2 linked regions of the Danio rerio genome follow. The protein of the gene in region 1 interacts with the protein of each later gene in a pairwise test. Links are inferred from orthologs where the notes say so. Each region holds a gene or a part of one and is shown on either strand. Other genes may lie near its edges.

Region 1 (13,201 bases):
CATTTGAGCAAAATAAGCAGTTTGAGCAGTTAAAACAAGAATTTTTTATTAGTAACATTAACAAATAATACTAGTCTGCAATAAGTACTAATGCCAATTTAATAACTAATTTGTATTTATTAAACATATACTAGTATTTAACAAATATGTACTAGTAGCTATGTAATAAACTAATGTAGTAAATAAAATGTTGCATCCATTTCAATGGGTGAGAGCATCAAATTAAGTACTAATAGTAAACAAAAAACTACTATTATTATACTATTATGTATACTAGTCACAATTAAAGAAACGTACAGAAGGTAAAGGCTTTTTGATTTGTTACATGTAATAATAGAATTGCTATTAGTTAATATTAAAATAGGAAAAATACAAGTATCTAATATGTACTAGTATCTAATGAATATATACTAGTAATAAGTAAGCACTAGTATCTAAGAAATAAGAACTTATCAAATAAAGGTGTTGGAAACTAATGAATTAATACTAGTGTTTAATCACTATAGAAGATATTCTTCTCGATCCTTATTCTAAAACTAGGAAAGTACATAAAATATTTGACATGAAAAATCACAAATATGCACACACCTCGTCTCTGGGTCCATTTTGACAGTCTTGTGTCGGTTCCGCTTTCGTTCCCACTGCTCATCTAATCGATGGCCAGCAATCTGAGTGACTTGACAGATTGGTTGACTCTGTTGCTCATCCAAATGAATGAGAAGCCGGTAACACTGCAGTTGGGCCCGGCCACCCGCAGAGAACACCAGAGAAGAGAGAACAGAGGTTTCCATCCCATTATTTCTCTCTCTTTCGTTCATGTCTCCTCTTCTGATTGCAGCCAGTGCACGAACAATTGAGATGTGATCCGTAAGAACCGCGAGTACCTTAACAATTCCACTCTGTGGACAGACAGCAAGTACACCCACTGTGGTATCCTCCCCTCCAGTAACAAAAACCTCCCAAAGTTCTGACAAGTCTCCAGACAAACTACCAAGGTGACACACACAGCTGATACCTCGCCCATGCAGTCCCTCTTTCAGAGTGTGTCCATTCACACTGGTGTCTGTGGACATTAATGAACGTGATGCCATGACAGCTCCTTGCTTAATGAAAACAAGAGTACCCTGTCTGAGAGCTTGTGTCTGGGTATCTATGTGGGTGCTTATTGGGCGTTTGAAGGCCCAAGAGCGATGACCACCTCCGCAGGTAACTGATAGTAGCTTCTCTTGACGATGAGGGTCCCATATAACAAAGTGGACAGAGTGAAAGCCAACCATTACAAAACGAGCCTCAGCTATGCTTTCCCTCCCTGTATCATTCGTCCTTTTCACAATTGTCTTATTTAGCATCCTTTCTGGTCCATCTGATCCCAAAAACAGAACCATCTCCAGCCAGTCCATGCCTTTGCAAGCCCGGTGAACTCTACGCACCTTCAGGGTGCTTTCTTCAACAGTTAGTATTCTTACAGATCCATCTCGACCAGTACTGTAGCATAAGTCCTGGTACTCACATACTGAAGTCACACCTTGTTTCCCATGGACGCCGTAAAGAGTGCTGATTGGAGAAAGAGAACTGACAAGCTCAGTTTGTCTATTCTCCGTTTCTTGATCTTGTGAGTCTATTCTGCTTTCTTCCCCCTCATTTATCCTGTCATTATTTTCTCTTTCCATGTAGAGAAGTAATGAACCTCTCCGGTCACCACACAGGCAAAACCCATTTCTCTGTGACAAGGTAACTGCAGCAGTCAACCAGCGTTTGGCACAGGGTGGCAGCAGAAAGGGAAGAAGAGCTTCTTCTTTTATGTGTAGGCCTGATTTATCCTCAGTCACATTTATTGTCCATCTGTACACTAATCCCTCAGAGCCTGATGCCAGAAGACACACATTCCCGGACTCCCCAAACAGTCCCTTGACCCAAAGTACAGAGTGAACTTTCCCTTCACCAGCTCTTAGGAAGACTCCCACCCCTGGCTGTCCTACAAGAAACACCTGCACTCCTCCGTTCAGGTTACCTACTGCACAAACCTGGACAATGCAATCCGAATTCTGGACTTGGATGCTTGCAACCTCCATCACACAATAGGACTGGAATTCAGATCCTCCTTGCCAAATGACATCCCAGATGTCACCTTGACTTAAGCAAACCTCACCTTGATCCGTGCAGACCAGAATTGCATTTGATTCACCCTCCCCCACTAATCGCACTACTTTGGGACAACCATGCCCTCTGAACCCAAGATCCAGTTGAGTCTCTTCCTGAGTTTCTTCACTGATTTTCTTACCCTCTGCCACTCTCCACAACCTTACTCCACCATCAGCACCTCCAGTAGCCACCCATCCCGCCCTACAGCTTATACTTCCCTCGCTTACAGCCAGAGCCCTCACGCCACCTGACTTATGCCCTCTAAATGCACATCCCACCTTCCCTTCACCTCCCCATTCCCAGAGCAGGCATGCACCATCTTCACCAGCACTAAATAAGCGGCTTGGTGTAAGCTTTACACAGAAGACTCGTGCTTGATGTCCATAAAGCACCCGAAGACACGTTGGCGATTCCTTTCCACAACCTGCATCTCCACCCAATGTGCCAACGCTCCACAAACGAACACTGCGGTCATCTGAAGCAGATGCCAGCCACCCAGATTCCTGAAGGTAGCAAAGGCTGAAAATGACTCCACTGTGGCCCAGTAGACGTCTCTCTACTTGGGACTGACCACTGAGCTTGGTTCCAGCTGGCCTCCACAAAACAAGCTGGTTGAAGACCGTCCCACCCACCAGCACTACAGAGTCCCAATTTGGACCAACCATAAGTGCTGAGTAAAGAAGACAAGTCTCTACGCACGAGTAAAAGGAGATAATGTTACCAGACTCTGCTTCTAGGAGCATGATGGCATTGTGGGCCAAGGATATGCCTAACAGTGAATGAGGTTGTCTTTTAAAACAATGAATGTCCAGCACCCAGTCTTGAAGCTCCAAGAGAGGACCAATCAGTTTCAGGCACTGCCCTTCAGATTCGAAGCTGACAAGCCGAACTCCTTTTCCTCCAAAAACAATAATATCTCCCTTGTAGCTGTTGTCCGAAGCAGAGCTTGCACCACTAAACGGTATTCCTCCAGACTGATGTTTTTTATATGGTCGTATCCCATGGATACGGTAGTTTTGGAGTACATTTATAGATGCACATTTCTTAGGAGATGCTTGAAGACTGTAGACAGAGAGGATTGGTCCCTCCCCTACAACACAACACAATTGATAGGGAAGAATCAATCAAATGAATTTTAATATGAGACACAAGTGCACTTCAACATAACATTCGAATATTATTAAAGAAGGAAATCTTAAAGCTAAATCAGTTTATTTGGTGAAAACATTGATAGTAGTGCAAAGCAGGCAATTGAACACAGTTACAAACAAAACATCTAAAACATTTAAAATAGGCAACATTGCAGAATTAGAATTTGTAAAATCAATAGCAGAAAATTATACAACTATGGAAAAACAAATGAGGGGATTACAGTGCAATTTAGAGCAACCTCATTATGAAATAAACACAAACACAATGGCTGCATCCAAAATCGCATATTTGCATACTATATAGTATGTTAAAAACAGTATGCAAACCGAGTAGTACATCCGAATTCATAGATTTAAAAAAACAGTATGCGAAAAGTACCCGGATGACCTACTACTTCCGACGAGAATCTGAAATGCATATTTGATGCACGCTACGCTATCACATGATGCCCAGTGAGAGAATTTATGAATGTGAGTGAAGCAACGCAACTGATGTTTTGGTCACATGATGATGACAGAATGGCAGATGTAGTAGGTCAGAGTTTCATTCATACTACTTACATTCATACTTTATAGAACATACTTTTTAAAAGTAGAGTAGTAAATTCAAATACAGTGCATTCTGAGTAGTAGACAATTTCGGATGCAGCCAATGTCATTGGGATTATTAAATGCACTAAATTTACCTAAAATAATTTGAGGGACATTAGGAGACACTTCAGGTTGCTTAGAGAAATCACATCCATATTGGCCCATGAGTCACAGTCTACATAATTTACTTCACCGTGGATTGTTAGCTTGTTGATTTGCTTCCTGTTCATTAAAAGAATGAATGTCAGTCACCTGTCAAAAGAAAATCCTCCCCTAGGAATTCCAGTGCAGTGATGGGAGCAACAAGCACAGCACTCTTCACCACAGCAGACTCTACAGGAGATGCCATTTCACAGTCTGCACAGCAGGCTGTAGACTTCTGGGGCACACACACACACACACACACACAAACATTACAGCATTATTCATTACTGACTGATCTCCTGAAATGTCATTTTCAAAAGGCAGAACCTGAACAAATGCAAAATGCTTGCTATGGCATTTATTACACGATCAAATCGATGTTATGATATAATAATAATTAACCTACTAGAGCTGCTGGTCACATGGCAGTTACCAAAGCTACTAAATTTGTTTAAATAATTTGGAATAATATAAAACAGAGCTGTCCAAACTTGGACAAAAGTTGGCCCACGGTAACCTTTGATTTGGCCCTCCATCCCATCTAAGAGGAGAGGTAAAACGATGGGGAATTTTGGGGAGAATGCCAATTTTATTTTTACATAACTTTTGTTTTTGTAACTGTCGAGGTAAAAAAAAGGCAGACTGAAATTAAACGTTTCACATAAAGCTATGAAAAGCTATGAATGAAAGCTATGAATCAGAATTAATTTTAATTAATTAAAAAATATTTAAAGTAATTTGATGGATAGCGGACATTGCAGAAGACATCAGCAAGCCAATTAAGGCAAAATGATTTTTGTGTTATAAATGGGATTGTTTATGTTTTTTATTGTAAGATGTTCATTATAAAATGTACAAAAGTTTATAATTGTTAATGCAATAAAAATATTTTAAATGCAATAAATTATGGAATTAATTAATTTATATAATATAATAATAAATTAGAAAATAACATTGACAACTTCATGGTTTGGTATATTTACCTCTGGCCCACCACTCTCAATCAAGTTTAGTTTTTGGCCCTTCATAAGAAAAGGTTGGGACACCCCTGATATAAAATAATTTGGGGATACTTGGCAAAATTTGTTTTTAATACTGAAAAACAAAAATTAAAAGTTTCATATCTGATATAAATTGCATATTTTCCAATTAGTCTTTTTAATTTTAAACTGCAAGTAGTGTATATATAATTTATTATATGAAAAAAAAATTAAGTTTGAGGTTAATATGTCAGAAAGCTATCTTTCTGTATGATTTTGTTTGAGTGTTGAGGCAAATATTTCTGCTTGAAGTCGTTTCCCATTAATTTTCACTTCGGTCATTTTTTATCACAATTAACAAAAGTGTGATTATTATTTGTTGTTTCAGGAATATTTTAGCTCTTTATGAAGGCCTTTATAAATCAGATTAGGTAAAAAAAAAATAAATTAATGAATGAAAACATGTCAAAAATTGATAACTACATTTTAAATTAATTTATCATAATTGCAAAACAAAATTGAGTATTGTGCATCCTAATGCAAATATTATGTTGGATATTAATTTTATTTTACAGTAATTGAAATAAAACCACAACACCCTTACTTTAAAAATGTATTTCATTATCTTTACTTTAATTATTCTAGATTATTGACACATGATGTGGATTATTAAGATATGTCAAGTAAACAAACTTTCTTAACTGAATAATTAAGCCCAGACTAACATCACCCATTTACAATTAATTCCAGTTTCCTTTATATTACACGTATATCTGTACTTTGAAAATAACGTAAACCATCACTGTCTAAAGTTAGAAACAAATGATAAAGGGTCTTTAGCCAGCTGGTGTGCAATGACTGTTAACTGCAGTAGGATTAAATTCAATTTGAGATACATGATTTTCCAAAAGGCAGTTGCAATAAAATGTGCTTTTATAAACGATTATCGGTTTACTTTTTACAATAATGAACGTCAGTAACTTATCAGCAAGACATATTTACCATAAAGTGGATCTTCCAGCAGTGATTTTACACGTTTCTCGTACAGTTGTAGCAACCAAAATTCAATTAGCTTAAATTTCACAAACCTGTCTCCTGTAGAGATCGTGCCTTTATTTTAAAGACAATAAAAACAAGGTCGTTTATACTGCATCAAGCATGTTTCGTACTGTATGCATGTGTTTTCACTTCCTCGTTGACACCGAGTACCGTCCAATCGCGCTGTTCAATACTACACACACCGAACCACACTGACAACCGATTGGCTGAAACCAGTCCTGCGCTTTCCACTGTGAAAACGCGTAGATTTGTGCAATTTGCCAGATGCACAAACCATATGTATTGAGCAGATCTCATGAGAATGGTATACAAATCATACGAAATGCACAAACCAGTGAATTGCCTTTTTTTACGCCCTGAGCGTCATTTTGCGCATGTGTCTCCGGTCTGTTATTTAAATTTCTTATGGACCGCTTAAACCCAGGGGGTGGGGACAAAGTGTAATATTTTCGGGATAAAATCGACAGCCTGATGATTGCATGTAAGTAGTGTCAATGTGGATAATATAATAACAGTTGTCATACGCTGTGTGTGTGTAAATGCACAATAGCTTAATTAAGGAGAGTGGTCTCGGGATAGTCTTAAACCGCAGCTCGGGTTCACTTCTAGTGCGATGCTCGGGTTTAGCGCTATGGCTAGCATGACCGGCGGACAAATACAGTTATAACAATTAGTACCGTAACAATGAAAATGCTGCACCTGCACCTGTAGGACTTGGCGAGACATGCATTTAATTGCTTGATTTTTTTTTCTTTGTTCATTCTTTAATAACGATGCGATTCACTCTGAGCGAATTGTTCTTTTGAGTCTGACCATTAATGAATCAGTTGAGCTGGTACACAAAACCGAACGATTCCGAACCGAATCGCAGCGAGCCGAGCAAGCATTTGGCCTAAAAAAAAAAAAACTTGTGTTAAAGCAGCCACTAGAATATTTTGTACAAACATTAGTAGCAGCGCAGAGTTTAGTGCAAAAATACAAAGAATTGTCAGCCAAGAGTAGTCTTGTAAATATCTATTATGTTAATTGCAAAAATTACCTTTATGACAATTTATTTAACAAACTTAAAATTAATGTAAACATTTACAATGTATGTAGAAATAAAATTAAAAAGTCTCAAAGGGATATTTAAAAAAAAGAAAATTTACTGGAAATACGCCAGGGCCATCCAAACTCTGTGCTGGAGGGCCGGTGTTTTGCAGAGTTTAGCTCCAACCCTAATCAAACACACCTGGACCAGCCAATCAAGCAGGTGTGTTAAAGCAAGTTGAAGCTAAAGTCAAGACACCGGCCCTTCAGGACCGAGTTTGGACACATCTGTCCAAGGCCATCCAATTGTATAGTGACTAGGCACAGGATGATAACTGGCTAACATTTTCTTTTATACTGTTCCTAAGGTATTTGTAGTTTTTAAAATGTTTTTTATGACTAATTTAGTTTTTGGGCAGCAGTATCTCCAGAAGAAATTAACCCTCCACATCAAAAGCTACTGGTCAGCCTGCAATTCAGGAAATATTTGAGAAACAAATTATAAACTATAACATCCAAACATGCTTTAGACCTGAAAAGTGCAGAGACTTACTTTAAATCCAAAGAAAAGTATATCATCTTTGCTTCAAATTCCAAAAAAAGAATTACCGCTTGTGGTAACCGCTCTTTTAATGCAGTGTCTATGGGACAGGAAATTCAATTTTACTTTATTCTCTCCTCTGGCTGCCAATTCTTTTCCTCTTTTTGAACGTCTTTAAATAGGTATGTAAATTTTTTTTTAGATAGTTAGATATCAAAAGATGCCTTTTAAAGTTGCAAAGAAATCTGTTTTTGAAACTAATGAAGATTTTTATTATGTCGCCTGACATGTTTACTGTTTCAAAATATTGAAAATGTTTCTTAAAATAAAATGTGTTGTGTTCAAAGGGGGGGAAAGTTGTTTGTTTACCCAGACATTTAAAAAAACATAAACAACTCATTTTAGAGCGGTAATCACAATACCAAGAAACTGGGATATTTTTATCCAAGGTTATCATACCGTCAGAATCTTATACCAGCCCATACCTAGTAGTGACTTATTTAATTCAGTCTGTGTAAATAATTCATTACAGTTCAACTATTTATTTTTTTACAACATTATTCCACAGGCTCACCAAATGGTCCTGAATGTGTTTACAAATCTTGTCACATATCTGTAAATAATATTTCGTGGACAGACGGATCGATTTTCTTCATAAGACTTCAGTGTATGTACAGGAACAACTCATTAGTTTAGTTTTGCCTATATATATATATATATATATATATATATATATATATATATATATATTTATATATATTTCTTTGTTTGAGTCCCAAAGTTCTGGTAGCCATTGACTTGCATTTTATAAATGACCAATAATCCAAATGCAATCTCAAACATAACTGTAACTTATAGCGTGGAAAAAAGAATGCTATGGATCCCTTTCACACGCCTGTTATGATGCGTTTAACGGTCATCAGCATCTTAAATCCTTGAAAGTTTTAAAAATTTTGATTTAAAAAAAAAAACATATGAACATTAATGTGTATTTATGTCTGTAGTATATCATCTTTGCTTCAAATTCCAAAAAACGAATTACCGCTTGTGGTAACTGCTCTTTTAATGCAGTGTCTATGGGACAGGAAAGTAAATTTATTTTATTCTCTCCTCTGGCTGCCAATTCTTTTCCTCTTTTTGAACGTCTTTAAATAGGTATGTAAAAAATTTTTTGTTGTACTTTCCCATTTACTGGGCGCTAAGTTTTCCCAACTATGATGACTTCCTCTACTGAGAAACCCGTAAATGTGAAAAGAGTCTACAGTGGCAAGTGTTGACACAAAACATGTGAAATTTGATTGTGTCAGAATGCACAGTGTAACTGTCAACCAAGTGCACCATACATGCGTAAAAACTGAAGCCAAAACTGTTTGAGTGCCCCCCTGGTGGATGGCTGCAGTATAGGTCATAAATCCATATAAACTAATAGAATGTGCACAAAATATTCAATTTTTCAAAAAGATGGTTGTCATCATGCAGATGTATGTTCAAGTGTTTGTTTTTTCTTACATGTTTATTTAATTATTTGTTGCTATAGAAATGGGTCTGTTTGGGTCAGATTCAGTATTATGCAAATATCAAATATCAGATCAATTTTTTTTGTAAAAGATATCGTAATATACTGGCATTAATTTATGTAATCACCAGAGATGGATGTACATCATCCTTCATAAAAATTGTCATCTCAACAAATGTTTAGTGTCAAATGTCACAATGAATACATTTTACATGTAGACACTTCTGTAAACAAGGTAGGCCTGGTATGAACTTTATAAAGTTATTTTGTCATTCAATATAAGAGTCCAAAATCCTGCTTCCTCCACATAATTCAATAATAAGCATTCAAATTTCTACGCTTTGTTTTTGCTCAGTTAAATGCATAATCTAGGTCAGGGGTCATCAAACTTGTTCCTGGAGGGCTGGTGTACACATTAAACTCTGCATGTCTATGTGTACAAAAAAAAAAAAAAAAAAAAGCTCATAATTGCCACCTTAACATGGTCAATCTGTATTTACATAATTCAATTTTATGTGTTTAACTGAAAAATTTTGGCCCTGATCACCTTCCAAAATAGTCCTACATTTTAATAACAATATCACAACAACAATATAGAACAAATGCTAAACCTTTTATTGTGCTTTCTTTATACTCATTTACAGACTTCCCATGTGTGCCTGGTGACCCTTTGCCCATCAGGTGGACCCGGGATACATTTCTATTTAGCACCCATGATCAAGCGACCTCAAAATCCCCCTTTTACTTGTGGCATCCAGAGTTTACCATATCACTGGAGCTGAAACTCTTGAAATGCACATAATCTGACCTCACCTTCCTGCATTCCTGGACTGTAAACACATACACTGTGACGCTACAAATGTTACCAAGTAAATGCATACAAATACCACTAGATGTCTTTAAACTAGACTGTTCTGTTGAAAATAAACATAGCAAGACCTTTTCTAGAGTTTCTATAAATGAAGCAACACCTAATACCTCAATAAAACCCAGTCACTCATGTTGACCACTATGACGTACCGCATGCCAAACTTCACCCTGGAGCAGAAGCTGTTTCTGCTTCGGAGAATCCATGCGGTGGTAGACACGGTCCAGGACTTTCGGAAAGACACCAACACTACTGTGCACCGGAATGCTGTGTGGGCAGAGCTGGCTCAGGCCTTCAATGCGGCGTTCCCGAGTCGACCACCCAGCAGCATCGGCTCTCTAAAGACACTGTGGAAAAGACTGAAGGTCGAGTGTCGTGTAGCCCTGCAGAAGAGACAGGAGCAGCAGGCCGCTGGGCTCCCAGTGTCTGCCCTCACTCAGGTAAATTCTCTAATTCAGATTAGGGATGCATGACTTTATCAGAACGTTCAATGTATGTTTATGATGGTGTGGAGTCGATTAGGCATGGGACAAATAACCGTTTTCAAGGTATACAACGGTTTGGAAAAGTCAAGGTTTTAAAACTGCCAAAATTTTTTGTTATACCGTTCCTAAGGTACTGTATTTGTAAAGCCTGGTTTATACTTCTGCGTCAAGTAACCGGCGTAACCCACGGCGTATGCAACGCGCGTAGCAGTGCATTTATACTTCTGAGCGCTGTCTCTGTTGGTTAGCATTAACACTTCCGAAACGCTAGTTGGCAGTGAGGTGTAAATGTTCCTCTGTGTCAAGTTTTTTCGCTGCTGTTTTGCTTTTCCTGAACACTTCTGGGATGTACAAGTGGCTCAAACTCGCTCATTTTAAGGCAGGAACCGGCGGACGTGCAACAACTTTAACTATGAGGTAAACGCAAAACAAAACTTTCCATCCGGAGCTCCTTCACGGGACTTCACACTTGAAAACAATCGCTCCATCAGGCTCGTACCAATCACACAACAAAGCGTTTGATGCAGAAGTATAAATCAGCCTTTAAGATTTTCTTTTATTAAATAATTTTTTTTTATTAAGGGAAGTAATTGAATAAAACTAGATTTCTTTCTGTGTACATGTTTGTTTGTTTGTTTTGTTGTCTGTAAAACGTACGTTTTATTAAGTATACTTAAAGGGGTAGTTCACCCAAAAATACAAATTCTGTCATCATTTAGTCACCTTTTACTTGTTTCAAACCTTTATGATTTTCTTTTGTCTGTGTTAGGACTGCGTTGTTTTTGTTTCTGTGTGTTTAATTTGTTCTAGATTGGGGGCGTGCCTTCAGCGCACCTGATGCTGGTCAGCACCCTTATTTAAACCCCGTCAGAGAATTGGTAGGGGCCGCTGTTCTTTCAATTGGCCAGAGCTGCACTCCAATTTGGGCATTATGTTTTGTTTCACATCCATACACTATCACTGACAACACCTATTGCATCCATTCACTTGCTTTTCACACTGATTGAACATACAGATACTGATGTTTTGATTAAATTATTTTCAATTGTGTTAAATAAATATTATTTTTGATTATATTTCGCTGTGTCGTCTCCCTCACTGTTACATCTCTGAGCCAGGTGTAACAGTCTGTTTAACAGAAATGAAGATATTTTGAAAATGATAGAAACCTGTAACTATTGACTGTGTTTCTTACTATAAAAAAATCGGTTACAGGTTTTCAGCTTTCTTCAAAATATCTTTTTTTTATCTACAGACTAAAGAAACACAAAGGTTTGAAACAAGTAACTGGTGACTAAATGATGACAGAATATTCATTTTTGGGTTAACTATCCCTTTAAGTAATGTTTTGAGTCAACTTCACGTATTGACATCTACATAGTATACTTGTAAGTGCACTACTTGAATACAACTTGGGACTAATTTGGCCCAGTTTTAGTATACAGTATAAACATATACTTTTAAGTGTACAATAAGTGTAACAATACACTTTAAGTTGTAGACAACTGGTCTACAATGACATTTTTCATTTGTACTGCAAGTGAACTTTTGAGAATACCAAAACAAATAATAAAATGTATTTTAATGTTTTGGACTGTGGGCGTCATGGTGGCGCAGAGGGTAGCACATTCGCCTCACAGCAAGAAGGTCGCTGGTTTGAGCCTCAGCTGGGTCAGTTGGCATTTCTGTGTGGAGTTTGCATGTTCTCCTCGTGTTTGCGTGGGTTTCCTCCAGGTGCTCCGTTTTTTCCCACAAGTCCAAAGACATGCCCTGTAGGTGAATTGGGTAAGCTAGATTGCACATATTTCCCAGAGATGGGTTGCAGCTGGAAGGGCATCCACTGCGTAAAACATGATAAGGATAAGTTGGCGGTTCATTCTGCTGTGGCGATCCTATAATAATAAGGGGACTTAGCCGAAAAGAAAGCCTCAGACTTAGCCTGAAACGAAAACGAGTTTTTAACTATTGACGTAATGTCTAATAAAAGGGTGGAGTGTGAAGATTGTGTGACGCACTGAGGATGTCTGCGTTTTCTATCTCCCAAGAATGAAAAAACAGCTATATAAAATAATTACTTAAAGAGTGCCAATCTTGACATTCTAAATGACATTATTAACTTGATTAACGCATCAAATTGAAAAACTAAGAGCGTGCAGCCGTAAGATATTTAAGTTTACTACTAGTACATGGATGATGACTTGTAAAGTGCTTTGAAATGTGCATTTTTTTATTTGAAATAATGTAATCTCAACAAATATGAAAATGGGTAGGAACGTATAGTAGCCCCTCCCCTTTAAAAACAGCCAATAGCATTTGGTTGAGTAGTTGAGCCCAAGTGTATCAAATGAAAGAGCAATAATCTTAAAAAGCATTTGATTAGTCAGAAGAGTTGATGAGAAACTGAAGTGAGGTGACATAAAAAAATCAATCCATTTTGGCGACTGCGACAAACTGCAAGCTTTGGATGTTTATATCTTCTAAAATGTAAATTTTGTCACTGTTTTGGAGCACACTAGCTTATAGATGTCCTTAAGACTAATATACTGATACTAACATCTAACATTCACTGTACCTTTAAGAATATTAAATAAATTAACTTCAAGTATGTTTCTTTTTGCTAAGGGTATAGTTGGATATTATTGGGAAATTGTAGTCACACAATTGATTTTGAAGTGTGGTTGTGTGTCAGGTGCAA
Region 2 (12,533 bases), on another chromosome or scaffold:
GCAAAATGAGGTTATTAATAGTATAAAAGTTAAAAAGATTATTTTTTTAGACAATTCTAGAAAAATCACAAAAAATCTGTCAGTTTGCCCATCTGACAATATACAGTAGTCAACATTTTAAGTGGACCAAAACCTCTAATCAAAGTTCTCCTTAAGCTAGTGAACAACTTAATCACTTAAAACAATTCTAACAAACCTTCCTCCACTTCAAATGTTGACTACACTGTATTCATCAGTCTGTCTATCCAGTTATCTATCCCTTTATCTGTCTTACATTGATCAATGCATCTATTTGTTTGTCTTTGGCTAGAGTCTGTTTATATTGTCCAGTCCTTAATCCATAAAGTCATTTATGGATGAATGGCAATCTAGACAGACTTCAGTCAAACAGATGGATGCATAGATAGTCTATCTAATTGCTCTGACTAAAAATGTATATCAGTGTTTTGTTGATGTGATGGACGTGTGCATATTATTTGATAGGTGATTTTAAGACTGATTGAAAAAAACCTTCAGGTAAGTACATTATAAATCCATTCATTATTTAATAAAAGTAAACACAGTAAAAGAAAGTTAAAACAAATAAGTTATAGCAGTTATCGAGTTGTCAAGATATCAAACAAAGACATCAGGAGAAATAAAACTGTACAAGAACAAAGACATACCTGCTTAAATGTGATTCTAATGGAAATGACAAGCAAAGCAGACCAATTCATTCAGTAACTACTTCATTTGTAGTGACGGCATTTTGCCATTAGCAGTGTGGCAAAAATCTTGCAATTGCTCCATCTTGTGGCTACCAGAAAATTATAAGCGCGTCAATTTAAGCTTTGCAGTTTTTTTTTTTATAAGAAAAATCAAGAACATAAGAACATAACAACTCATTACTACTCAACTACTTTGAGCTTTGGTTTAAAAACCTCTGCACTTCTAAGCTAATAAAATCAACATCTAAGCCATTCAAAGCAACATTTACATTAAGCTATTTACATTTACATGCTCATGACCAGCTTTCCCAATCTCTTCAAGTCTAAATTGATAAGAAAAGCACACATATAATCTTTTTTTAAAAACAAATTTTCCATGAGTCTAAGCTTCTGTAGAAAATATTACCTCAGAGTTTTTCCTCAATAGTTGAGTGGCTCAAATTGTTTTGAGAATTAAATTGGATCAATAACTGAGACCATTTAAACAACACAGAGTTCATCAAGTTCTAAAACCTGCGTTTAACTACTGATAAATAGAGTGAATCATTTACATTAATGCGATTTAAGACTGTTGATATAATACTCGCTAACTGCAAACAAAAAGACTTTTAGCACCATTGTAAATCATTATGTGAATCTACACCATGACTCTACTGAAACATCCAGCTCGGCTTTAAATGTCCTGCATAACTGAGAACTGACACACTGTGTAATCCAAATGTTTCTTGAAGAGCTGGTAAGAGGGTAGAGTAGGCAGAATGAGATGATTGGCATCACAGTTGCTCTGAGGAAAAGCACACAAGTTGTCTGGTGAGCTGAGGAATGAGATGGACGGAGTGGGCTTGAATCCGATGGCTGGAACTAAATCTGTACCAGTGGCAAATGTTAGGAGGTCCTCCAGCGATGCTGCACATTGACCCTCTGAAACACAAGAGAAGGGTTAAAATTATTCAAAATGCATTGATTATTCTCTTCATATTCATCCAAAATGTAACACACAGACCTTCACATTCATGCAGATACTGTTTCCAAAAGCTTATCGTGGTCTTTTCTAGAACTTGTTTTTCTTTTTCTTCTGATAACCGGGTTGTGAAGAGCTCCATGACAGATTCAGCCGTCAGCCTTTCCACAGGTCCACAGAAGACTGGAAAGAACGTCTCTGAGCACATCTGGACCTGCTCGAACATTCCTAGTGTCCTCAAACCTTCACGGAATCTGAGGAAAGAAATATGAGCTTGAATGAACATTTGCTCACAATGAAGAGAAATGAAGGTGCTTTAAAACATTATGTGGATACACTAGAATTAAACAGATTGGGGTAGGTAAAATTAAAGAGCTAATAATTTTATAATAACTAATAATACAAGTTCATGAATACATTTTATTTGAAATAAATGCAACAATTCAAAATAACCGTGTTCTATTTGAAGTTATTTCACATTTTTGTATGATTCTAATGCAAACTTTCTAGCAGTTATTGCTCCACTTAACTGTTCCACTGCCTGCTCTACTTATAGATGATCATATTTTGTCTGTTTTAAATAAAACAGTCCTTTAAAAAGTGACTGTTTTAAATAATAGTTTACACAAACAGCATCGTTGGTTTACCAAAAAAAAAAAACTAGAACAAAAAAAAACAAACAAACAAACAAACATTATTATGTTGCACTACTACACTTGATTTTGGTTTTATTGTAAAAAACAGAAACAAACAGAAAACAAGTTAAACGAGAATCGGCAATATTTTATGGCACACTAAAAAATAAAGTTGATTTAGTATTCAAAAATGTTTTATTATTATTATTTTTTATAAATTGAAATTACACTTCATATTTTTCAGATTTTCATAGCATATGCATCATTTCTACCTCTACCAAATGGTTGATATTTTATAAATTATGGGATGTGCTGAAAAAACAAATGCTTTGAGTGTTAACTACCGCCATTAGGAATTAAGAAATGCAATCCACATTGTTTTTGGTGGGGCAGTTAATGTGATCACAGTTTAGAAATTACTATCGAATTTTTAAACATTTTACTTTGGTTTACCACAATACAAAAATGTTAAGATTCTATACTAATCCAGGTTTCTAATATCTGACAGTATAATGCAAATGCTATTGGTTCTGTGACAAATTACATATTCTAAATGCAAAAACGTAAATGACTTATTAACATTCTATGATGGATGGAAAAAAAACTGTAATCATTTCAATTTTAATTTAAATAAAACATTCTTCATTTTTGTCATTCATATTTAAAGTCACTTTTGATAAGCTTAATGGAAACGTACTAAATAAAATAATGGATTTCTCACTAAATAATAAAAGAGAGATCGTACCAACCAAATTGTTGAACAGTAAAATATGTTCAATTAATGTTATAATTACGGGTCTTAAAGATGTAAAAATGAAATGCGAAAAATTACATATAATAATAAAAAATAAATAAAAAAATAAAAATTCTACAGACACAGACAGACAGACAGACAGACGCACGCACGCACGCACACACACACCTTACAGAAGACAAACAACAAATTATCAATGCAACAATGTTATAAACACAAAATTTTAGTTCATGAATATTTCGAATAAGTGTTGCTTGATAAAATATATTAAACTTTATTTAAAAAGGCACCAATTTTACCCCTTTTACAAAATGTAATATACGCCTTTGGTGTCTTCAGAATGTGTCTGTAAAGTTTCAGTTCAAAATACTCATCAGATAATTTATCATATCGTCCAGAATCTGCCGATTTTGCTGTCTGAGGTTAGTGTAGCTATTTATGTAGCCTGTGGCTTTAAATCCAAATAAGCTGCTTCTCCCCGCCCACTATTTTTATTACCTTTATTACAAACGGGCTCTGCTTTAAAAACATTTTAAACTTATAAAATTAATTGATGTGCAGCTGATCACAGAGAGTTGTAACATGTATCTTTGCAAAAAATGTTCTGTGGACATGTGTATACAAGTTTTTATGGAGACAAGGCACCTGTCTCCATAAACCGCACTCCTACATCTCCTTGCTGTGGGCCTCAAAATTACTGGGATTTGGGTTGATGGACTCGAATTTCTGCCTTTCAATCCATCCCAGCATGGATCAACATTTATCCTTTTTCTCATAACTTTATTAACATGATTATTTAATTCAGTATTTAATCACTAAATGATTTAGACTAATAAATAAAGTTAACACATTGCTTAATATAATATAAGAATGTTCAGTGTATTTGCCTGTCTTTTTGTCTTTCTATTTTAACTCTACTTTCAGGAGCCACCAAACTAGATCAGAGGTCAAGGAAACCTCAAGTGGAACTGAAGGGCTTGATGATTAAAAACAACTGTTTTCCTATTTGGATTGCTATGTGTTACTGTCTAAAGTGAATTTGATATTATTGTTATGTGTATATTCATTTTAAAGTGATTTTTATAGACTTTGTGTTGTAAAAATATAGCAGTCTGAATGCTGTTTATACCAGTTTTGAACTAGTTCGATAAGACAGCTGAGAGTATGAAGAAACAACCTTGGGTTTTTATAACAGATTGTCACTTGCGTGTATATATTCATCCGATGGGTCAGTTCTGCAGTTCTAAGACCAGTTCATAATTGTCTACAGGCGGCTGACCTGACCCAAACCTCCTGTTGCCATCTGTACATAATATTTTAACTGTCTATCTTTGTTTTAACCAATCGGAACCTGTTACCTGAATCACACTCTTTCTGGTCTTGTGTAGAGAGTATAATTGATGTTGATTTATGATTGTAAGCAGAGCGGCCAAGGAACTTATTGCGAGTGTTGAAGCTGGCTTCTGTTGATGAAACTGCAAACTATCTTCAGTAAAACTTCTGACTCCGGCTCTACTTCATCTGACAGACTGGTCATTCTTTGAGTTAAAACTGTAAATAATCCCTACAGGGTCCTATTTTAACATAAGGAAATTTAAAAAAAGAGACTTGTTGGGTTCTGTCCAAACAGTCTACAAAAACTGAACTGTAACATAGGTGCCCTTTAAGGATCACAGTGCAGCCCCAAAATCCTAACTAATCTTAATAATTTCATACTGTCTTTATTATAAATCAATCACTAGATTTGACACATTTGACCCTATAATTATGCTTTTTACATGCTAAGATATACGTCTTAACAGTTTAGATTACAAACCTTTGCAGAGGAAGCTGCAGTCTGATGATCAGGTAGAAATTCAGTACATCCTCCACCAACATGTCTTTCTCAGAGAGTTTGCTGATCTTCCGCCAACAGCCTGCAGCTTCCAAATATTGTGATGCTGACTTCATCGCATGTCTCAGCTCCTTCATTGACTTTGCTTCTGCGATCTAAAAACACAGAGACACTATAGTTTAACATGTGTACAACAACCATTAGGTTCTTAATAAGTTACACAAATAAACTCACTTGTCTGATTTTGTGCCCAAAAGCAGTGTCTCCGAGGTCTTCTAAAGTAGGCCTGTAGTTTTTGGGATAGTTGAACAGACTATGATACAGTGCAGGAGAGAAGAAGCCCAGAGGAGGACCTCCGTGAACCAAAGAGAGGGCCAATAGACTGCCGACATCAAAGTAGAGATCGTCCCTCAGAGCTGTTGCACACACAACAGTTGTTAGCTTTGTTAGTGAAGGTCATTTCTAATTTTAAAAAATGGGTTTGAATGTACCTTTTGAGTTCAGAGCCAGGTTTTTAGCTCCATCGGATCCCTCAAAAATGTCTGAGACCTGCAGTTTTGAAACGAGACGCCTGAGAAAGCGACGCTGGTTTCTAATGTTGTTGTTCAGTTTGTCCTTGGAGAATTTGACAGAAAGTGTGCAGCAGGGATTAAAGTCACTTTGGCGCAGCACCTGCAGAGCTGCTTCCATCACGCCACCATCATCATCTCCCACCAGCACCTCTGTGAACTGCTGCTGTGAGATCTGACAGGCCAGATCCATTAAGACCTCCGGAGAAGTGGCTGGCACACACTGCCTACAAAACAATGACAAAGCTGTTACTACTTTGCCTCATAATAGTTCATATGTGCACTTAGTGATCAAAACACAGCCAAAATCATCTAATAAATGATCTTAATTGTGCATTTAATTAGATAATGCTTTATTAAGGTTTGGGGTCAAAATGAGTTTTAAATGTTTTAAAATCAACTTCTTTTGCTCACCAAGGCTGCATTTATTTCATCAAGAATACAGAACAAAATGTAAAATGATGAAATGTTATCGCACTTTAAAATAACTGTTCAAAAGCAGTTTATCATTTAATTTAATCATTTATTCCAGTGATTTTAAAGATGAATTTTCAGCTTCATTACACCAGTTTTTTTAGAGTCACGTGATCTTTTGGAAATCACTCTAATATTAATTATCATGATTGTTATTAATGGTAATAGTAATAAAAGCATAATTACTTGAGCAATAATTTTATTTTAAACTGTATACAATAATCAGAACTGTGCCCAAGCGCGTTTCCTGGTTCGTTTGAGAAGTGGGAGTGCTCTGAATCGGGCTCATGCGCAGTTCAGTTGGCCGGCCCTGGCCCAGTTGAAAGAGGTGTGCCATAGCGCAGTTCAGTTGGGCTTTGCCGCGGTACGCTTGTAGTGTGAGTGCAAAGTGTGCCTAAAGCAGGTCGCACACCAGAAGCGTCGCTCGGCGCCGCAACACGGCACGCACATGACAGTTTAAAGTATCACACACCAGACGCGCACATTCGAATGATATTTAACATGAAACTAATCAGATGGCGCTCTGTGGCGCGGCTGAAAAATGAACTGCGTCCAGAGCCGTGGCCGGGCGCTGCCGACTTGCGGCGCCGGTGTGTGTATCCTGATAGAAACCTATGTTTAGAATTCTAAAATGCATGGCGTGCCGCCGAGCGGCGCTTCTGGTTTGCGACCTGCTTAAGGCTAAAACTGAAGACGAGACATGCCTTTTAAAGGACTGTTTAAAGGACTTGTTTATTAAAGACGCAAATCCCTTACTGCGCTTCAGCTGCACCTTCAGCAAACCTTTTAATGCCTGCAGCACGAGGACTTTATGATTTTATATGAGCTTCAAAAGCGACTGATCTCGTCTGTGAAATATTTGATTGTCTCTGCATATCAAACTAATACGATAAAACTAAAGAAAACTCCACGGTTCTGAAAAAGAGAACTTCTCTTCTGTTAAACTGACCAGTGCATCATCGATGATGTGAGCATGCTTCGGCTTGGATGCAATGTGAGTGCAGGCTGTTGGGGGAGAGGGGAAAAGCGTGCTTCGGCATGGTTCAAAACAACTGTACATAGTGTGAAAACACCCTTACTATGCATGAACATTTACTACTTTATTGTACACATGCATGGATTCACAGCTTCTCTAGCTATTATGTTTATAAATGTATACATTTTATACCTATAGATTTATCTTCCCCTGACCCACTCCCAAGCCTAACTAGAACCCCAAAACAACGATTTGCCAAATACAGGGTTTTCACACTTTCATGGACATCAGATTTAAAAACTTTTTAAAGCAGCATTCATTTTAAATGAAGCACCTCTGTACCATGAATGTCCTTACTCTACTTTGTTTTTCACTCACATTTTAACTTTAACATTTTACTTACACTTAATATTTACATTAAAATGTCTAAAATTGACCGTTTTTAAATAGTCATGTTTAAATAACTTTAGTAAAATTTGTTAAAATGTGCATTATTTGTCAGTGTTGTTGTACAAGATGTAAAGGCTTTGGTAAAGATTTGGTAAAGATTTTTTTTATTTAAGACTTTTTCAGTTTTTCCATTCTGTTTTTGACAGCAGCACAGTATAATTGTTGAAATAACACTGTAAACAAGTTTTATTGCAAATTTAATTCAAGCACTTTCAAGTACCTATGTTTGATTTTAAGTACTTCATGGACCTTGAATTTATATGTCTGAAATGTAAGTACTTCCAAAAAGCTTGGGAACCCAGCAAGTAATTAAAGTATTTACTCACTTACTCACTATCCTTCGGCTTATTCCCTGATTTATCAGGGGATCGTCACAGCAGAATGAACCGTTAATTATGACTCTGGCATATGTTTTGTGCAGCAAATACTCTCCCAGTGCATTTATTTTCATGGAATTTATTTATAAATGTTAATTTTGTTGTTAATAAGAATAACCTTTTTATAGTAATATTTAAACAGTAGTTTTATTTGCACAGTATGCGCTTTACACAATTACTATGTAATAAGAACAACAAACTTAGTGACAGTTAAACTTATCATACAGCAAAATGGTAAATAAAAAAAGGGTTGTAAAAGATCAAGAATATTTTGGACTTAGAACAGATCCTATCAATTTAAAAATACCTTTTAGCGACGATTGAAGAGTGAATGTCAGAGATCGATTTAAACAGCCTCTTCCTCTCTTGTCTTATAGCCAGTGGCGATTCAACATGATTTGGCAATGGCAATGATGCTGTAAAAATAATGAAAAAAAAAAAAAAAAAAAAACTGAGGTAAATTTAAAACCTAGAGTGAGAGACACATCCAAGCACATGAGGCTGTTCTATTATTCACCACAAAAATACAACAGTTTAGAGAACTCACTTTTGCCCTCAGCTGCAGTTTTACAGTCAGCACACATCCAGTCAGCTTCATAAACTCGAATATTAGAGCACTTTCGATGAGTTCCCCTGGATCCACACAACTTGCAGAGAACTATTTCAAAATACCTGTTAAGAAAAGCCGTTTCTTAATTGATTGATAGTTACAATGTTTTTCAACCAAGGTCAGTGTACATTAATCAACATTCCACAAAAACGAGACCTAAATGAGCCCAAAGTCAAGTTTCGAAACAGATCAAGTTTACTATATTTTTTAAATATCACTTTTCTATCATTTTTAAATATTTAACAATAAAAAGTCATCAACAGCAATTAATAATGCATAAATAATAAATACTTCATATGATAAAATACACAACTAATAATTATACTAATAATAACATACAAGATAAAAATCTAAAACGGTTTAAATTTTTATTTCTGATCAAATTTCCTATCTAAATAAATAAATATTTCATTTAAAGTCTCTCCAACATAAAAAATGGAGCATTCCACAAGTATATGTTTCTGATTTCATTTGATTAATTTGGGATGACTGAATGAAAAGCACTGATTACCCTGACTGTGAGCTGTGTTCACGACCTTTGTGACACAGACACTTCACTGCATCACAGCGGTGGTAGACCTGCAATAACTCAACAAATGCATTCTCCTCCAGTTCCCAAGATGCATCACTGGAAAATAGAAAACAATGTAACTAAAAACATTATTTGAACATTACTCCAGCAAGCAGTGAATAACAGTGTTACAAATAAAACATTAGGATAAACAAGGTAATAGAAATTCGAATGACTAGAATCAATAGCAGAAGGATTATTTACCGCTCTGGTATATATATTCCCATTCGGAGCATTTCCTGCTGAAACTGCTCCTTGTTATTGCAGAGTGTGCATTTAAAGAAAAACATTGCGGCGCTGTGTGCATAATTCTGAAACACAAGAGAGGAGGATCTGGCTCAAAGTTCTAACTTAGATTAACATGTTTAAAATAGGGGTTAAAAAGATTACCTGTACACATTTCCTGTGAAACCAGCTTCCATGACATGCAGGGCATTTGAGGACATGATAGGAGAGGATGGGTTCAATGGGATCTAGACAGATGGAGCAGGAGTGGGGCAGACTGTGGCTGGAGTCACAGGACTGAGTAGGCGCATGCTTTTTACAGAAAGACCTGCAAAAGATTGCCATGATCAGTACCAAGAGGAGCATTTGTAAAATTGACAACAATGATGCTGCTTTTAAATAGGTTGGGGTCACTTGTTTTTTTGTTATTCAACAAGAAATGTTATTCGACAAGACAGTTTTTGACAGCTGTCGCATGATCCAAGATTTGGACACCCCTGATCTGAAGGATACTGAAGACTGGAGTAATGGGTGCTGCTAAACCTAAGATACTTATTTTAAAGGCCAATTAATAGCACTGACAGATGCAGGCAAACATACACTACCTGACAAGACAAAATCTTGCTGCCTATCCAAGTTTTAGGAACAGTAAATAATAACTTGACTTTTAGTTGATCATTTAGAGTCAGAAGTAGCTTATATGAAAGGCAAAGGCCTCTAGATTTTGCTCTTTTTTTTTTTATTTTTTTTTAACCAAAATCAAATATAATCATGCCTTGATTTTTAATTATTTCATTAGGACAGTAAGGTCTGACTTTCTTAGACAAAAGTCTCGTCTTTTAACAGAAATCATGTACAGTATAGAAAATAAAGTTCTATACTGTACATGAGTTCAGTGGAAAAACAATGAGTATTGTGTATGAGCGCTATCCTGCTGAAGATTTGCCCTTTCCTGTGGTTTGTAATGTAATGGGCAGCACAAATGTCTTGATACCTCAGGCAGTTGATGTTGCCATCCACTCAACCGATCTTTCTCATGGCCCATATTGAATGTAAACCCAAACCATGATTTTTTTTCATTAAACTTGACTGATGTCGGGTTCCAATATATCTACTCTGCAGTATCTGTAATGATTAGGATGCAGTTCAACAGATTTACCTTCTGCCACATTTACAAATGATCAACTAAAAGTCAAGTTATTGTTTGTTGCTCTTACAACTGGGATCGACAACAAGACTTTTGTCAGGTAGTGTATACAATCATTAGATTATAGCATGCTACTTCACAGACATTATATGACACAAGTGACTCCACACACACTGATAAGGGTAACAGACTGATCCAACAAAGTGTAATTTGCCTCGGTCTGTGTGGTGTAAACTGGCCTTACAAACATGTACTGGGTTAATGCATTAGATTCTGTTATTATTGTTAGGATCCTCATTTGTTCAGTCATGAACAGATGTAAAAATAAATCCAGAAGCAGCTTAATTCAAGCCTGTAAATGAAAGCCAAAATTAAATTTGCTGCTTATTTAAAGCAGGGGTCACCAATCTCGGTCCTGGAGGGCCGGTGTCCATGCAGGGTTTAGCTCCAATTTGCCTCAACACACCTGCCTGAATGTTTCAAGTTTACCTAGTGAGACCTTGATTAGCTTGTTCAGGTGTGTTTGATTAGGGTTGGAGCTAAAATCTGCAGGACACAGGACCTTCAGAAACAAGTTTGTTGACCCCTGATATAAAGCAACAATGGAGAATTTTCATCTTGTAGTCTGAACTTTCCTTTTAAATATACACATTTTAAATAATATTTTAAAAGGCTTCACATCAATACTTTCTACACCATCATCTTGCTATTCACAAGGAACAACGCACTTACGGAAACAAGCCTGTGAACTGGAAAACAAACTCCTGCTCTAATCCACAGGGCATGTGGACCATTTGCCGACAGCTTTTGATGGAGCAGCCCACTGAAGCACCAGCCTTTTTGCAATGAAAGCATCTCTGCAAGTAATAAAGTGACACAAGTTTCAAAAATGTTTCTGAGGTGTTAAACAGAACATGGCAAGGGTAAAATATTTACTTACCAGCCTCGATGATCTGCGGATCTCCTTTTTAATGTCACCCACAAGAAAACCATACACGTCTTCATCTTCCTCTCCTCTCTGGCATATTCCACTAGACATTAGCTGTAACATTAGATTAAAAACTTATCCTTTAGAAACTTTAGGGATGAATGCGTATAGGTTTTGGTGATGGGCTTCAACATGTACGTAACAGTCCAAGATTTCTTGATTGAAAACAATACATTAGACACATTCTAATATATGGTTAAAAATTACATTAATCTAATATAAAAATTAAAGCCAGAATGCAGTTAAACACATTTTTTTTATGTCTTTGACCCATATGTAGTATTAGCCAACTATATCTGTGTAGGGGTAGATGAAGGGGAAAACGCTCTTTTTCCTCGAAGACAACAAGAAATAAAGACTTGGCAGTTACAACTATGAATATTATTATTTTTTTTATAAATTAGTATATTGGAATTATTTCTGAAACATCAGGTGACACTGAAGCCAATTCAACCGTGCTTTCACAGGTATAAATTACATTTTAACATAGCAAAAGTCTGCTCAAGGCATTCGAAAAATGTGGAAAAAATATTAAGAAGTCTTTATTGACATGACTATTTCTTAAAACTGCCATGTTAGTAAAGGCTTTTTAATTTATTATTTTTTTTTTACATTTTTTGAGAGCCTTGGACTTACTTTTGTTGTTTATTCTGATGAATCTCTAACATAAAGAGCACTGACACATTATTTAAGCTACCCCTGAACACTTTTTGTTTGATTTTACATTTTAACATTGTTCACCCAAAAACTCCAATTTACAAGTGGTTCCAAATCTTTATGAGTATTTTCTTTGGTTCTGTTGCACAAAAGAATACATTTTAAAAAGAATGTTAGAAACCTGTAACCATTGGCTTCCACAGTAGCAAAAACACTACAGACACTATGGAAGTCAATGGATACAGATTTCCAACATTTTTCCAAATAATTCCTTTGTGTTCAACAGGGGGAAAAATCAAACAGGTTTGTAACAAGTCAAGGGTGAAAAAACTGATGACAGAATTTTCAGCTTTGCCTAAACCATCCCTTTAAAAGAGAAAATAGATCTTTTATTGTGTAATATTTCATAATATCACAATTTTACTATACATTTGAATTGTACATGACTTGTCTCAAAAAAGACTCTTCCAAACTTTTGACCACCAATGCATAGTTTTGTTATATATATATAATTTACATATAAATGGTCCATGTCTTGTGTACTCAATTTATTCAGGACACATAATTCAGGATAACGTTACATTAAGGTAACAGATCG

Evidence for each region.
Region 2: the proteins of wdr6 (region 1) and g2e3 interact in a two-hybrid assay, tested with the Homo sapiens proteins (2 studies listed by BioGRID and IntAct). The two-hybrid records come from large-scale screens. The link is inferred for Danio rerio from reciprocal best matches to the Homo sapiens genes WDR6 and G2E3.

The regions. Positions count from the first base shown.
Region 1 is NC_133183.1:28,122,540-28,135,740, reverse strand, and holds the start of wdr6 (tRNA (34-2'-O)-methyltransferase regulator WDR6), read right to left. Parts: upstream 6,201-13,201; 5' UTR 6,097-6,200; exon of another isoform or gene 6,014-6,096; coding exon of another isoform or gene 6,011-6,013; intron 4,264-6,010; coding exon of another isoform or gene 4,234-4,263; coding exon 4,137-4,233; intron 3,233-4,136; coding exon 589-3,232; intron 1-588. Other genes in the region: fsbp (fibrinogen silencer-binding protein), read left to right, coding at 10,153-10,461, 13,196-13,201. UniProt on the Homo sapiens protein: Together with methyltransferase FTSJ1, methylates the 2'-O-ribose of nucleotides at position 34 of the tRNA anticodon loop of substrate tRNAs. Required for the correct positioning of the substrate tRNA for methylation.
Region 2 is NC_133192.1:30,299,480-30,312,012, forward strand, and holds the end of g2e3 (G2/M phase-specific E3 ubiquitin-protein ligase), read right to left. Parts: intron 11,333-12,533; coding exon 11,231-11,332; intron 11,148-11,230; coding exon 11,023-11,147; intron 10,269-11,022; exon of another isoform or gene 10,030-10,268; intron 9,533-10,029; exon of another isoform or gene 9,510-9,532; coding exon of another isoform or gene 9,472-9,509; coding exon 9,309-9,471; intron 9,230-9,308; coding exon 9,123-9,229; intron 8,976-9,122; coding exon 8,859-8,975; intron 8,410-8,858; coding exon 8,285-8,409; intron 8,154-8,284; coding exon 8,045-8,153; intron 5,688-8,044; coding exon 5,383-5,687; intron 5,308-5,382; coding exon 5,126-5,307; intron 5,047-5,125; coding exon 4,874-5,046; intron 1,923-4,873; coding exon 1,711-1,922; intron 1,629-1,710; coding exon 1,381-1,628; 3' UTR 526-1,380; downstream 1-525. UniProt on the Homo sapiens protein: E3 ubiquitin-protein ligase which accepts ubiquitin from an E2 ubiquitin-conjugating enzyme in the form of a thioester and then directly transfers the ubiquitin to targeted substrates. Essential in early embryonic development to prevent apoptotic death.